Linked DNA regions of Medicago truncatula. Each later gene encodes a partner of the first gene's protein in a complex. Links are inferred from orthologs where the notes say so. Each region holds a gene or a part of one and is shown on either strand. Other genes may lie near its edges.

What was found.
Region 2: eukaryotic translation initiation factor 3 subunit H (region 1) and eukaryotic translation initiation factor 3 subunit K share a complex: the UniProt entries of both Arabidopsis thaliana proteins name them as parts of the eukaryotic translation initiation factor 3 (eIF-3) complex. The link is inferred for Medicago truncatula from reciprocal best matches to the Arabidopsis thaliana genes TIF3H1 and EIF3K.
Region 3: eukaryotic translation initiation factor 3 subunit H (region 1) and eukaryotic translation initiation factor 3 subunit A share a complex: the UniProt entries of both Arabidopsis thaliana proteins name them as parts of the eukaryotic translation initiation factor 3 (eIF-3) complex. The link is inferred for Medicago truncatula from reciprocal best matches to the Arabidopsis thaliana genes TIF3H1 and EIF3A.

The regions. Positions count from the first base shown.
Region 1 is NC_053048.1:7,408,084-7,411,839, reverse strand, and holds the start of eukaryotic translation initiation factor 3 subunit H, read right to left. Parts: upstream 2,727-3,756; 5' UTR 2,578-2,726; coding exon 2,565-2,577; intron 2,469-2,564; coding exon 2,389-2,468; intron 1,787-2,388; coding exon 1,670-1,786; intron 1,572-1,669; coding exon 1,468-1,571; intron 1,324-1,467; coding exon 1,257-1,323; intron 576-1,256; coding exon 442-575; intron 359-441; coding exon 310-358; intron 1-309. UniProt on the Arabidopsis thaliana protein: Component of the eukaryotic translation initiation factor 3 (eIF-3) complex, which is involved in protein synthesis of a specialized repertoire of mRNAs and, together with other initiation factors, stimulates binding of mRNA and methionyl-tRNAi to the 40S ribosome.
Region 2 is NC_053045.1:59,751,057-59,754,812, forward strand, and holds the start of eukaryotic translation initiation factor 3 subunit K, read right to left. Parts: upstream 2,831-3,756; 5' UTR 2,738-2,830; coding exon 2,606-2,737; intron 2,509-2,605; coding exon 2,452-2,508; intron 2,347-2,451; coding exon 2,296-2,346; intron 1,939-2,295; coding exon 1,876-1,938; intron 1,374-1,875; coding exon 1,323-1,373; intron 1,251-1,322; coding exon 1,184-1,250; intron 825-1,183; coding exon 742-824; intron 254-741; coding exon 50-253; 3' UTR 1-49. UniProt on the Arabidopsis thaliana protein: Component of the eukaryotic translation initiation factor 3 (eIF-3) complex, which is involved in protein synthesis of a specialized repertoire of mRNAs and, together with other initiation factors, stimulates binding of mRNA and methionyl-tRNAi to the 40S ribosome.
Region 3 is NC_053048.1:47,003,669-47,007,424, forward strand, and holds the start of eukaryotic translation initiation factor 3 subunit A, read right to left. Parts: upstream 2,591-3,756; 5' UTR 2,429-2,590; intron 1,650-2,428; 5' UTR 1,623-1,649; coding exon 1,577-1,622; intron 1,466-1,576; coding exon 984-1,465; intron 801-983; coding exon 585-800; intron 500-584; coding exon 131-499; intron 34-130; coding exon 4-33; intron 1-3. UniProt on the Arabidopsis thaliana protein: RNA-binding component of the eukaryotic translation initiation factor 3 (eIF-3) complex, which is involved in protein synthesis of a specialized repertoire of mRNAs and, together with other initiation factors, stimulates binding of mRNA and methionyl-tRNAi to the 40S ribosome.

The DNA.
Region 1 (3,756 bases):
AAATAAAATAAAAATTTATCAATAGAAAGATTATTTGGCCAATTCTGTAGTCTAATTGATATTATTAGCAGTTACATGTAAAGTTCATTCTTAATTGATGCATTAACAAATGTGACCAAGATTCTTTATACTGCAATCCACCATGATGAATGTGTTTTGATCACTTCATATTTTCATCAGCTAAATGAAATGATTTAGATACACTTACACATTATAAATTTAAAGAATTAAATAAAATACAAATTTATCAATAAAAAGATTATTTGATCAAATACTCAAAAGGTTACAGCAAAGTTCCAGAGCGCTTACGGGAATTTCCTCGAAGATATCCACCCATGATAAGTTCTTCTCCCTCAATCTAGTATTTCATAGGACAGAAATTAATAAAGCAAATCATTCAACTTAAAGAAAACATTACATCTTCCAGAAGAAAACACATACTTTTCGCCAGTGAAATTATTGCTGCGATAGAGTTCCATGAATGAGTCTGAAAGCTTCAAAGCCTTCAGAGCTAGGACCCCTTGATCAGCCCTGGATGGGTCATATATTATGCAAACACAGCGTCTAATATTCTCCTGAAAAAACATTAATAGGTTTGAAAGAAACAGTCATTTACCTGATTATTAAATTGTTAAAAGATTACTTCAGCAAGAACTGCATTGAATATGACAAAATCACCATTGTCACACATTTATGAAAAGTATAAACTTTAAAAAAAAAAAAAACTAGACAGCGGAAGCAGCATGAAATTCTCATCATCAGGTTATTATGCACAAGTATACTTTTGTTCATATAACTATCTATTCTTATCAACTTCCTACATTTTCACTAGCACAAATTTCTGCCTCAGAACAATGCAATAAGCATGTGTAAAATTATCAGTTAATTGTTAGAGGCAACTTGAATCCAACAAATAATCCTAATATCTGATTGTATCGATCACGAATGACCCACATCCTTAATATCATTATAAGTAGACAATAAAATGCTATAATCTTCGGTGGTGCATACCGCATATTTGTTTGGCCTATTGGACATTCTTAAATTATAGTTTCACAGATATTATGCAACATACTGTGCAATAACCTTTGAGTAATGGCTCATCTGACCAAGATTGAATAACTTAGAGAAGCGTAAAAAAAGAATATATTCAGTACATTCACATTAAATAGTAAACTACAGGAGCATTTAAGAATACAAATCCACAAACTCCGGCTTAAGTGAAAAATATGCAAAAAAAAATCAAGAACTATTACCTGGTAATTCATAAAGGTTTCAATCAGCTCCACAGTTTGATAGGAGCCAAGCAATGTAGACTGGTACCTAGATTCAGAGAATTATCAATCATGTTAGATAAGTGATTAAAAATAACACATTGAAATTTGAACCAAATCCAATCGTGATTATCAAACCACTGAAGTTAGAAAGACTCATACATATGTGAAGTGGTACTTAAATCATACGTACCATCCAACAGTATTATTGTCCACATTGACCTCTCTCAAGCACCTCATCATTTCAAGCTGGTAATTGGCACCATCAGCTTCAATTTCCTCGTCCTCTTCCCTCATCTGCAAATTTTAGAAATAGATATGAGGAAAACTTAATGAGTCAATGTTAGCTAATTTCAAAACTGAGAAACAAAATAAAAAAAAAAGTGATACCATACCGGAAAAGGGAAGCAGTTAGTAACTTCAAGAACACTGCCAACATCCAATCCAAGAAGTTGTCCAGTGACTAAAGAAGGTGAGTGATCCTTGCAATGCTTAATTATCTTCAGGATGACCTGTTAACCAAAAGATAACACCATCAAGACCAGAATGGTTTGAGAATTATCTTCATAACACAAACTAATTGAAGAATTCCATGCAACAAGAGGCCATGCTTCAAATACTTTACAAACTTACAAGGCTACATGAAATGGGTCCTGTTTGGATTGACTTATTAGAGTTTATCTATTGGCATAAGCATTTGTGAGATTGTTTGAGTGAGCTTATGGAAACAGCTGTCATGACATGTCCATAAGTTGTTTTCAGCTATTCCATGGGCTCTCTTTAATAGCTTATGAAAACAGTTTTTATCTTTTTGTTATAGAATTAGCTTACACATATAAGTGTTCAATTAAGGTATTTAACCAAACATGGTCACGGCCTAACATAAACCAGGGAAGAGGTACATACACACCTAACATAAACATATAAATTACAAAGCAAGACAAATGTAGATAACCCAGATGCAAAATCAAACAGAGACCCATAATTCCAAACAATAAAACCCATCAAAACCCCAAATAAAGACAACATTTTTCACAATTTTGATAACAGTATAACAGAATTGTGCATCACTATAAATTAAGCAATTAAAGAGTACAGAGAGTAGAATTAATACCAATCCTTCCATCTGAACAACTCTAAGAGGAGTTGCAACCTCTTCCGTTGCAACAGCTTGAAGAAAAGACCTGGTTGCAGCTGCGAAAAACGAATCAAGAATGGAATCAAATTAGTGAAGAGAAAAAATCGAGTAAATAATCGGGAAAAAAAAAATGGAGATTGTTGTGAGATTACTTGTAGTAGCCATGATTGGAATCTGAAGCGGAAAAAACGCTGTGAAAATCGATCGGGAATGAGGAAAATGGGTCGGAAGTTGCAGGAAGAAGAAACCCTAACGCCGGAGAAAGAGAGGAGTTTCTGGTGAGTGGTGTATTGGGCTCAAATAACCCACTAATAAAACCCAAAAAAAAAAAAAAAAAAAATCTTATTTTATAACAGTTATCGCATAAAAAAAGTTCACTTCCATACAAACCGATTAAAACATTTATATTTGGTGTTCAAATCCGGACACCACAAAAGAAAAATTGATTAAATTATTCTCCACGTAACTTAAATCACATAATGGAAAAAAAAAATTGATTTAAACTTTGTAATTCGAATTTTTTCTTGTTTTGAGTATATGTGACTTTTGATCATACAAAATGGAATACATGCCATGGGTAAACAAAATTCGCTTAAATTATAGAGGCGAAAGTACCTTTAAGATTCAAAAACCAAATAATATTTAAATTACAAGGTTGGAATTCCAAATTTTTTTAAGATAAATCAAAATTCACTCAAATGTTAGGGGTAAAAACCATTTAACCCTTTTTTTCAGAGACCCTTTATTTTATTATATTTGACGAATTTTCAAGAATATATCACACTAAAAAAATATTTAACTTATATTATTTTTATTGAAGTGAAATTGTTCTTATTATAATGAAATTTAAATCTTTCTTTTAATTAACAATTTAAAAAATATTATAGAAAAGAAAAAAATGTAACTAGAATAACTTAAATGAAATGTATAATTTAAAGATAAAAATCAGTCCAAAATCAAGTTTGATATTTTCATAAATAAGTACGGATAAAGAAAAAGAAACTAGTAATTTGACAATTACATCAGCAATGCTTTGAGTTTGATATTTTATGTGCTTTTAAGTTTATCTTTCACCTTAAAAAAGGTTTATCTTTCTTTTTTAACTCATGTTTATGTTACATTTTATTTGTATTGTTAATCTTTTAAACATAACAAGTTTCATTAAAAAAAATACATGTGACATTTTTTTTTTTGGTAGATACATGTGACATTTTAATATCCAAATAACTCACATACACATGTTAAATGTAGTATGTCATTTTCCTTCATCTCTTCACTTATTTTCCTTTAAATCTAAATTTTCGAATCAAGTCTTAGAACCAAAGTATCCAAATTTCCGCAGCA
Region 2 (3,756 bases), on another chromosome or scaffold:
CACAAATTCGCACATTTTCTGGAAAGAAAATACAGTCCCCCATATTAAATCAGCTAAGAATAGGAAAGATGCGGGTAACGTGCTCCAATGGTACACTATCTGCAGTGTTTTTCTTCAAAATTGGATCATTAAATTCATTTCTCGGAAGGACGATGAGTTGACCCTTCCCCTGGCTTTTCTCAATAACCCAACCAGAGTTTTCTACTTGGTGTTCAAGGAATTTGTCCAAGGATAAACCTTCTACATTGATAGCCTATTCAAGTTTAACAAAAAATAAATGATCTTGTTAATATGCTTCAAAGTAATATGAGAAATCAACTGATATCTATTAGATCCGTACAAGTCTTCAAAATAAAAACAATTTCTACAGAAACCAACACTCTTGTACTTGACAAACAGTGAGAAGAATTCAAATAACTAACCGCCGAAGTTTTCAAGAATCATTTAACCCCAAAGGAATAAACAGAACAATAGTGTTGTATTGTGAATCTAGAAGTGTTGTATTGTATCATGTACGAGTTCATTCATCAAACCTGAGTTAAACTAGGTTTTGGAGACTTAATGAATCGTGAATCTAGAAGTGTTGTATTATATCAGTATGAGTTCATTCATCAAACCCGAGTTAAACTAGGTTTTGGAGAATTAATGTAATGTACTTTGAACTAGCAGAGACTAAGCCACACAAACTATTTTTCAGTAATAAACGAACCAATATTTAAATGGACAAAACTAAAAGCATACCTCAGCAAGCACAGTTCTGGGAATCTTTTGGTAAGTCAAGGATAGAACATGAATCGCATAGCCTTGGATTGCCTGCTCAAATCCTGCAATAAATTTCTGAAGTAAGCTAGCATAAAAGCAAGCATTAACAAAGTTGAACCTATAAGCTAAAGCTCTATCTTGAAATGTCTGACGTATATAAAACATTGTAGCAGTGCAGCTCTATTATAAGTAATAAATTTAAGAAAATCAATGTCCAACATATATATGATATTGTAGCAGTACAGCTCTATTATTTCCCAATAATATATCCGTGATGAGCGTATGATAAAGCTCTATCTTGAAATGCTTGTCATATATAAGATATTTGTAACCACAAGCCTTCCCAGGGTCACGACTCAATTAACAAGATATAGCAAAATTAAATCAGTATCAATCATGAATGAATATAATGTATAATCACCTGGCACAGCTTCAACTATATGACGACTTTTCGATGCTTCATCCCAGAACTGACGAAACCTTCCAGTCTGAAGATAATAAGAATATTAACTTATGATTTCAAAGAACTGCTTAAGTCATGGCAACTAATTGATGCATACCTCTAAATAGTGAGACAGAACAATCAGTGTCTTGAACTGCTCCTCCATTTGCTATTATTCATAGGAAACAAAAATTATTACACTAAAAGAAAACAAGACGCCACAGGGTACTGCTTAATAAGAAAGAAATGAATAGATCAGTAATACAGTTACACAATTCTCAAAATCAAATAGAAAATTTATAAAACCCAGATGAATACCAGACACATAGAAACCCTATGTAATTTTTTTTATAGACAAATGTCAGTATTTAATTTTTTTTAGAGGAAATGTCAGCACGTTAGTTGTTATATTAGTATTTTTCTCTCCTTTGCAAAGGTTTGAACCATGTTCTTTAACCCTTGGCTAAAACCAGTTGAGCTACCCAACCCCCCGAAATCCTATGTAATACTAAAGATTGACAGTCAATTTCATAAAATTAAAATTGATTGTTAGGTCCTTCTCAATCAAAGGCATCTAACAAGAGTGACTGAATCATTCAAATATCCAATAAATGATGCATGAGAACAAGAAAAACAACTACAAAGAAAAGAATACTTTGTAAGAACCATACCACACGTTCTGGAATCAAAAAGAGACACAGGCTGAAATCTGGAGCCGGCATGGCCATGAGAGCCTGTTGAAAAACAAAACCAAATATTTTACCAAGTGATAACATCAATCAACTATCTTGGCTCTGTTTAGATAAACACCTTATTTGAGGCTTACAACACAAGTGCTTATTATGATAAGCACTTGTGTTCAAGCTATTTATATAGCAAAAGATAAAATAAAGTTAAATTGTTTTGATATAAGCTATAAGCTATTTTCATAAGCTATCTTGAAGAATTTATGAAAATAAGCTGAAAACATCTTACGAACGATATTGTAATAAGCTGTTTTCATAATAAGTCAATTCAAATAGGCCCCTAGGCATATGATTTTTCGTTCACAAGTAATAAGCAATAAAAAAAAAAACAATAGAATTGAATACCTTAACCAATATGCGAGCTACAATCTGAGAACTCATTTTCTCAGATTCAAACTGCAATAATAAATAAATAAACAAACAAACAATTACTTGCAATCAACCTTTATAATTGTCATCAAGCAATAATCTGAAAATGACGATTAATAAGAAAATGGATACCTGGTAGAGGCGAAGAAGGCAGAGATTTGATTCGAGGCTGTAAGTTTGCGATGAAACCTGAAGAAATAATAATAAAAAAAAAGGATAGAAAATCGTTAATTGGAATTGTATAAACCCTAATTTAGTGATATGAATGATAAAAAAGAAAGGTTACCTGATCATTGACATAGTTTTCGAGATCTGGAAGAATATCAGGATTGTAACGATTGAATGCAACGAGCTGTTCGACAGTGTAAGCAGTTCCTCCCTGTCCTTTCTCTGCTGCTGCTGCTGCTTCTCTTCCCATTTCGAAACTCTCTCTCTCTCTCTCTCTCTCTCTCTCTCTCTCTCTCAGTTGATGCGCTAAACCCTAGTACTTCGCTATCTTACCAGTTACCTCAACGCGATTCACAAGGAAAAGTTAAATATATTATTGCTCCTTTTTCTTTAACCAAAAATGTTTTTTCGTCCTTTATAGTTTATATATATTTTAAAAAAAATATAATGTTTTAATTTAATATTGTAGATAAATATTTCGCCTCCTTTAAATTATAACTCGTTTAAATTTGCGTTTATCTTGCTCTCTTGTTGACATAGAACAACAACGTGCGTTCTTTTAAGTTTGATTATTTGTGTTAATTACGATGGATCGGTCCACATTGAGTTTTGTCATGACTTTAAAAGAAGCCTGCAAGTAGACAGTAGAATTAGATTTCTCGAATTAATCGATCATTGAGTTGGATATCAAAATTATAAGTTATTTTAACGTGATTTTAAATAGACTAAAAAAATAATTAATTTTGTATTGAAGAAGGAAATCACAAGTTATATTACAATATTACCCATTATTAATTAATGGTATAAAAAAAAAGAAGCTTAAAATCACAAGTTATTTTACAATATTAACTTTTTTATAAGGAAATATTAACTTTGCTTACCCTTGCTATATCTTTTATAGATATTTTTGCAAAAATTAAGCTTAAAATTTGATTTTTAGGTTGAAGCTTTTATTCTTCTGATTTTTGAATTATTAGCACTTTTAAAATTTATACTTAATTTATCTATTGTCAGATAATTCTAATTTTATGTGAAAAACCGTATTTTCCTAAACACGTCTAAAAAAAAATCATGAAAAAATTTAACATGAAATTGCATTTTGAAGAACCCCTTTGATTTTGACCAAGTCAAAGATATCAAATTTAATGACTTAGATGCCACACGTGTATTATATTATCTGAGTAAATTACATTTTTGACCCCTAACTGATCGGCGATATTGGCCCCCCGATTTACACAAACCGACAATTTTGACCCATCACTGCATTCA
Region 3 (3,756 bases), about 40 Mb from region 1:
TACCAGTTCAGCAAGAAGTGACGACCTTGAGAGCTGGGGAAAGACAAAACAGAAACAAAAACAAATGGTAAGAATAGCAAATCATATATCTATACACTACTGGGAGTGCAAATGAGGGAAAGTTAAATACCACTTCTCTGCTATCAGGCTTAGTTTCAAGATTAAAGCCTATGAGATTAGCCATCCTCAAATTTCGCTCTTTTTCATGCTCTAGTTCTAAATGAGATGCACCATGAGTGCGATCATGAGGAGGCACCGAGAGTGCAGCTAGAACAACAGATGAAGCTATTAATTGCAAATCCTTTTGACCAAGATTTTTGTTGAAGCTTTTCTGTAACAAAAAGAGCTTAAACCATGCATAAGCATGATATAAATGACTTGAAGATTTCCAAAATATTTCTGTCAACTTGACATAGTAAACAGTCATCAAGGATGGTTTAGGTGTTTTCTTGACCATGCACATTAATCCATGAATATCTTCAACAGATCTGAAGGCTTCCTGCATGCAACAAAAAATCAGGTCTGCCAACATCAATGAAATAAACACCTTGTGAAGATTTAAGGAAAAATGAGAAGCTGCCAACCTGCCAGAGTTCAAGTTCAGTGGCAATTTTCAGCTGCTCAAATCTTGTATCAAGATACAATTGCAAGCTTTCAGGAGCAGAAAGGTCAGGCCGGTCTCGTTGGTCCCGATATTTGTTAAGATTAGCCAAATGATTTCTGATAATTTCACAGAGTCTGCGAAATTCTGTTGTTCGCTTATACTGCTTACAAAACTGGAAAGCTCGATGGGCTGTCATCTGCATATGGCAATAGAATCGACTATAAGTTTGACATAAAAGTAAATCTGCCTTGCATATTATTGTTTTTTAACTATAAAACGTAGAATGATATGAAATAAAAAAGAAGAATAAGTTAATGGGCAACAACAACATATAGCCCTAATGACAAGCAATTAATTTCTATTTATCAGGAATACTTACAGCATATAAGGCTTCCAATTTGGAGTTGTTCCGCAATATTTCAAGCACTGTCCTGTAAGTTTCCCATAGAAATTTAAACCATGGCGTAACAAGCTCCCGATCAGATCTATCCTTTCCTTTCTCGCCACTAACATAGCTCAGCATCAAATCCTCTGGCCTTTTATCAGCCTCCAGGTCATCCACATCAAGGGCTTCTTCCAAAGCCTGAGCCTGACTACGTGCTTGTTCAGCTTTCTCTGTTGACAGATGCATGAAGTGCTTGATCACCTCCTCCAGTGAGCTAACATTCACTTGCTGACATATTATACGATACTGAATGAGGCCATCCTTAGCAAATCGGCCTTTCCTCATGTCAACACAAAGCTCGACATACTTAAACATAATTCTCTCCAGTGTTTTCTGCCATGCGCGATATCTTTTCGAAGTGATCAGGTCGTGCAGAGTCTGAAGAGCATCCTGCTTCTGCCCGACATTGATCAACTCTGTAAATCAAATTTTAAGTGATTCAATTGCATAATTCTCTAAAACAAATGACAAGCTAAGAACACGAAGAATAGAAAAATAGAAACTAAATAGTCATCTTCTGAACAAACCTTCTGCCCTTTTGAGAGCATTCTCAGGCTTCAAAAATGACGTCATATTGCAAATTCACAAAAATTCAACTCCCTGTAAATAAGAGAGAGTGATAATGAAAATTAAAAAATAATAATGAAACAAAATGTAATCCAAAAACAACTGTAAAACACAAATTCACATCAGAATTATCTAGAAAAATTGTAAATCTCGCAAGATTATAGATTTGAATCACGTTAAACCAATGTCATTCATAAACTAAGACATCAAGTGAAATTGCCACTAAATGTAGCAGAAATTTAAGCGAAAATAACAATCAAACAGATATTCATATGAAAATTCTCTAGGAAAAAACGCCAAAAGATTGTAAATTACAATCACGATAAGGTGATGATATTCATAATAAGAATCATGCTAAGCCATCATCTTCGTGTAATATAATTAGCTGAGCAGATTAACTGAAAATAGCGATAATCAAAATAAAAAAAAAAAAAACAATAATAACAGTTAAACACAATTTCATATCAAAATTCTCTACAATAGTCAAATCTCGCGGAATTGTAAATTAGAATCACACTAAACCGATGATAATCATAAACTGAAAATCAAGTGAATCATCTACATCTAATTAGCTGATTCAAATTAACCATTAACAATAAAACTGGTATTATTGGAATACAAAAATAACGATAATTGAATCAGTTTATATCGCAAATCGCACAATCTCAGAATTGCGTTGCGGAGTGGATCTCTTCTCAAAAGGAATTTCCCGCGCACCGTCGTTCATAACGGCCGGGAAACGCGCCGGAATCGCATCGTCGAGAGTGGAAAGAAAATCGAAAGAAAAAAAAAAAAGGAAAATCTGAACGTACTTCGTAACGGTTTGTCGTTGTCGATGAAAAACAGTGGTTTCGTTTCCGTCCAGCTTTTGCTTTGTTACGAAGAAATTGAGAGTTGAGTGCGTCTTCTTCTTCTTCTTCTCAAACTGGATGCAAGTGCGCAAAAGCTCAGCGGCTGCTTATCGGTTTTGTTGCGTTAGGGTTTTAATGGTAAAAGCTTATTATGGGCCTAAGAAAATTGAATTGGGTCGGGTTTGGCCTCTTCAAAATGTTATGTATTTTTTAACCCAGGAAAATAAATAGTATGAAATAACAAATATTGAAGTTTATCGTAAAAAAGAAACAAATATTACTTTGGTTTTGACTCATCATTAAGACGTAGATTTTTTTTTACTCATTAATGATGTAGAAACTGAAAAAATATTAATATCAAAACCGAAATATTCACATTCAGGATGGAGCCAGAAATTTTTGCTAGAGGGGGCGAAAATAATTCATGTAATGTCGAGTCATTTGCTTGGTTTGAAATCAATTAATCACTTTTGTTTTAAATTTCTGATTTCTGAAGAAAAAAAGCTTTGGGAGTTATGAGAACGTAACATGATAATAAATCACATAAAGTCTGATCGTATATTTTTTAACTTAAATAATGTATTTTTTTCTTTTGCTAACATGAATAAGATGCCTTATTTTACCCTCTCAAACAAAAAGAATACTACTAATTTCAAAAGAGGCGAATGTAATGAATTTTTTTTCTTTCTATTAAGCAATACACAAAAATTAATATCATTATAAGAAGATGACTAAATGTGAGGCACTGGATAGAATACTTGTATATATATGTACCAAGTGACGTGGAAAGGAATTGAAATTAGAGTGTATTGAAAAGTACTAGAGTGATGCATGTAATTGTAGTTCAACTAATCCTGTTTCACAGGAGTAACATTCTTATTTCTTTAGGGGGACGAGTATGAGTTTCGGTATATATTTGTCATAAATTTCTTGTATTTGGGGGTGGCGACTGCCCCAAAACAAATATATGTAGCTTCGTCCACATTTTCTATCCTCTAACTAATGCACTCTAGTGTTGTTAGATTATTTTCTCCAACTTCCGAAAATTGGAGGTTATCACATGGCAAGTGATTTCTCTCGTGGATGTTTGTTTCAAGTTTAATAAAACATTCTTGAAAATGTATTAATAGGGAATTATTATGTTCATATTTATTGTAAGGTTGAGAAAAATATTTTTGGATATAAATCAAAGTTTATTGGAATGAACTAACTTCTCTTACTCTTGTGGAATCATTCACATGTGAGAAATTGGAAATGTGCATTCATGTGAAATTATATATAGAATTTTT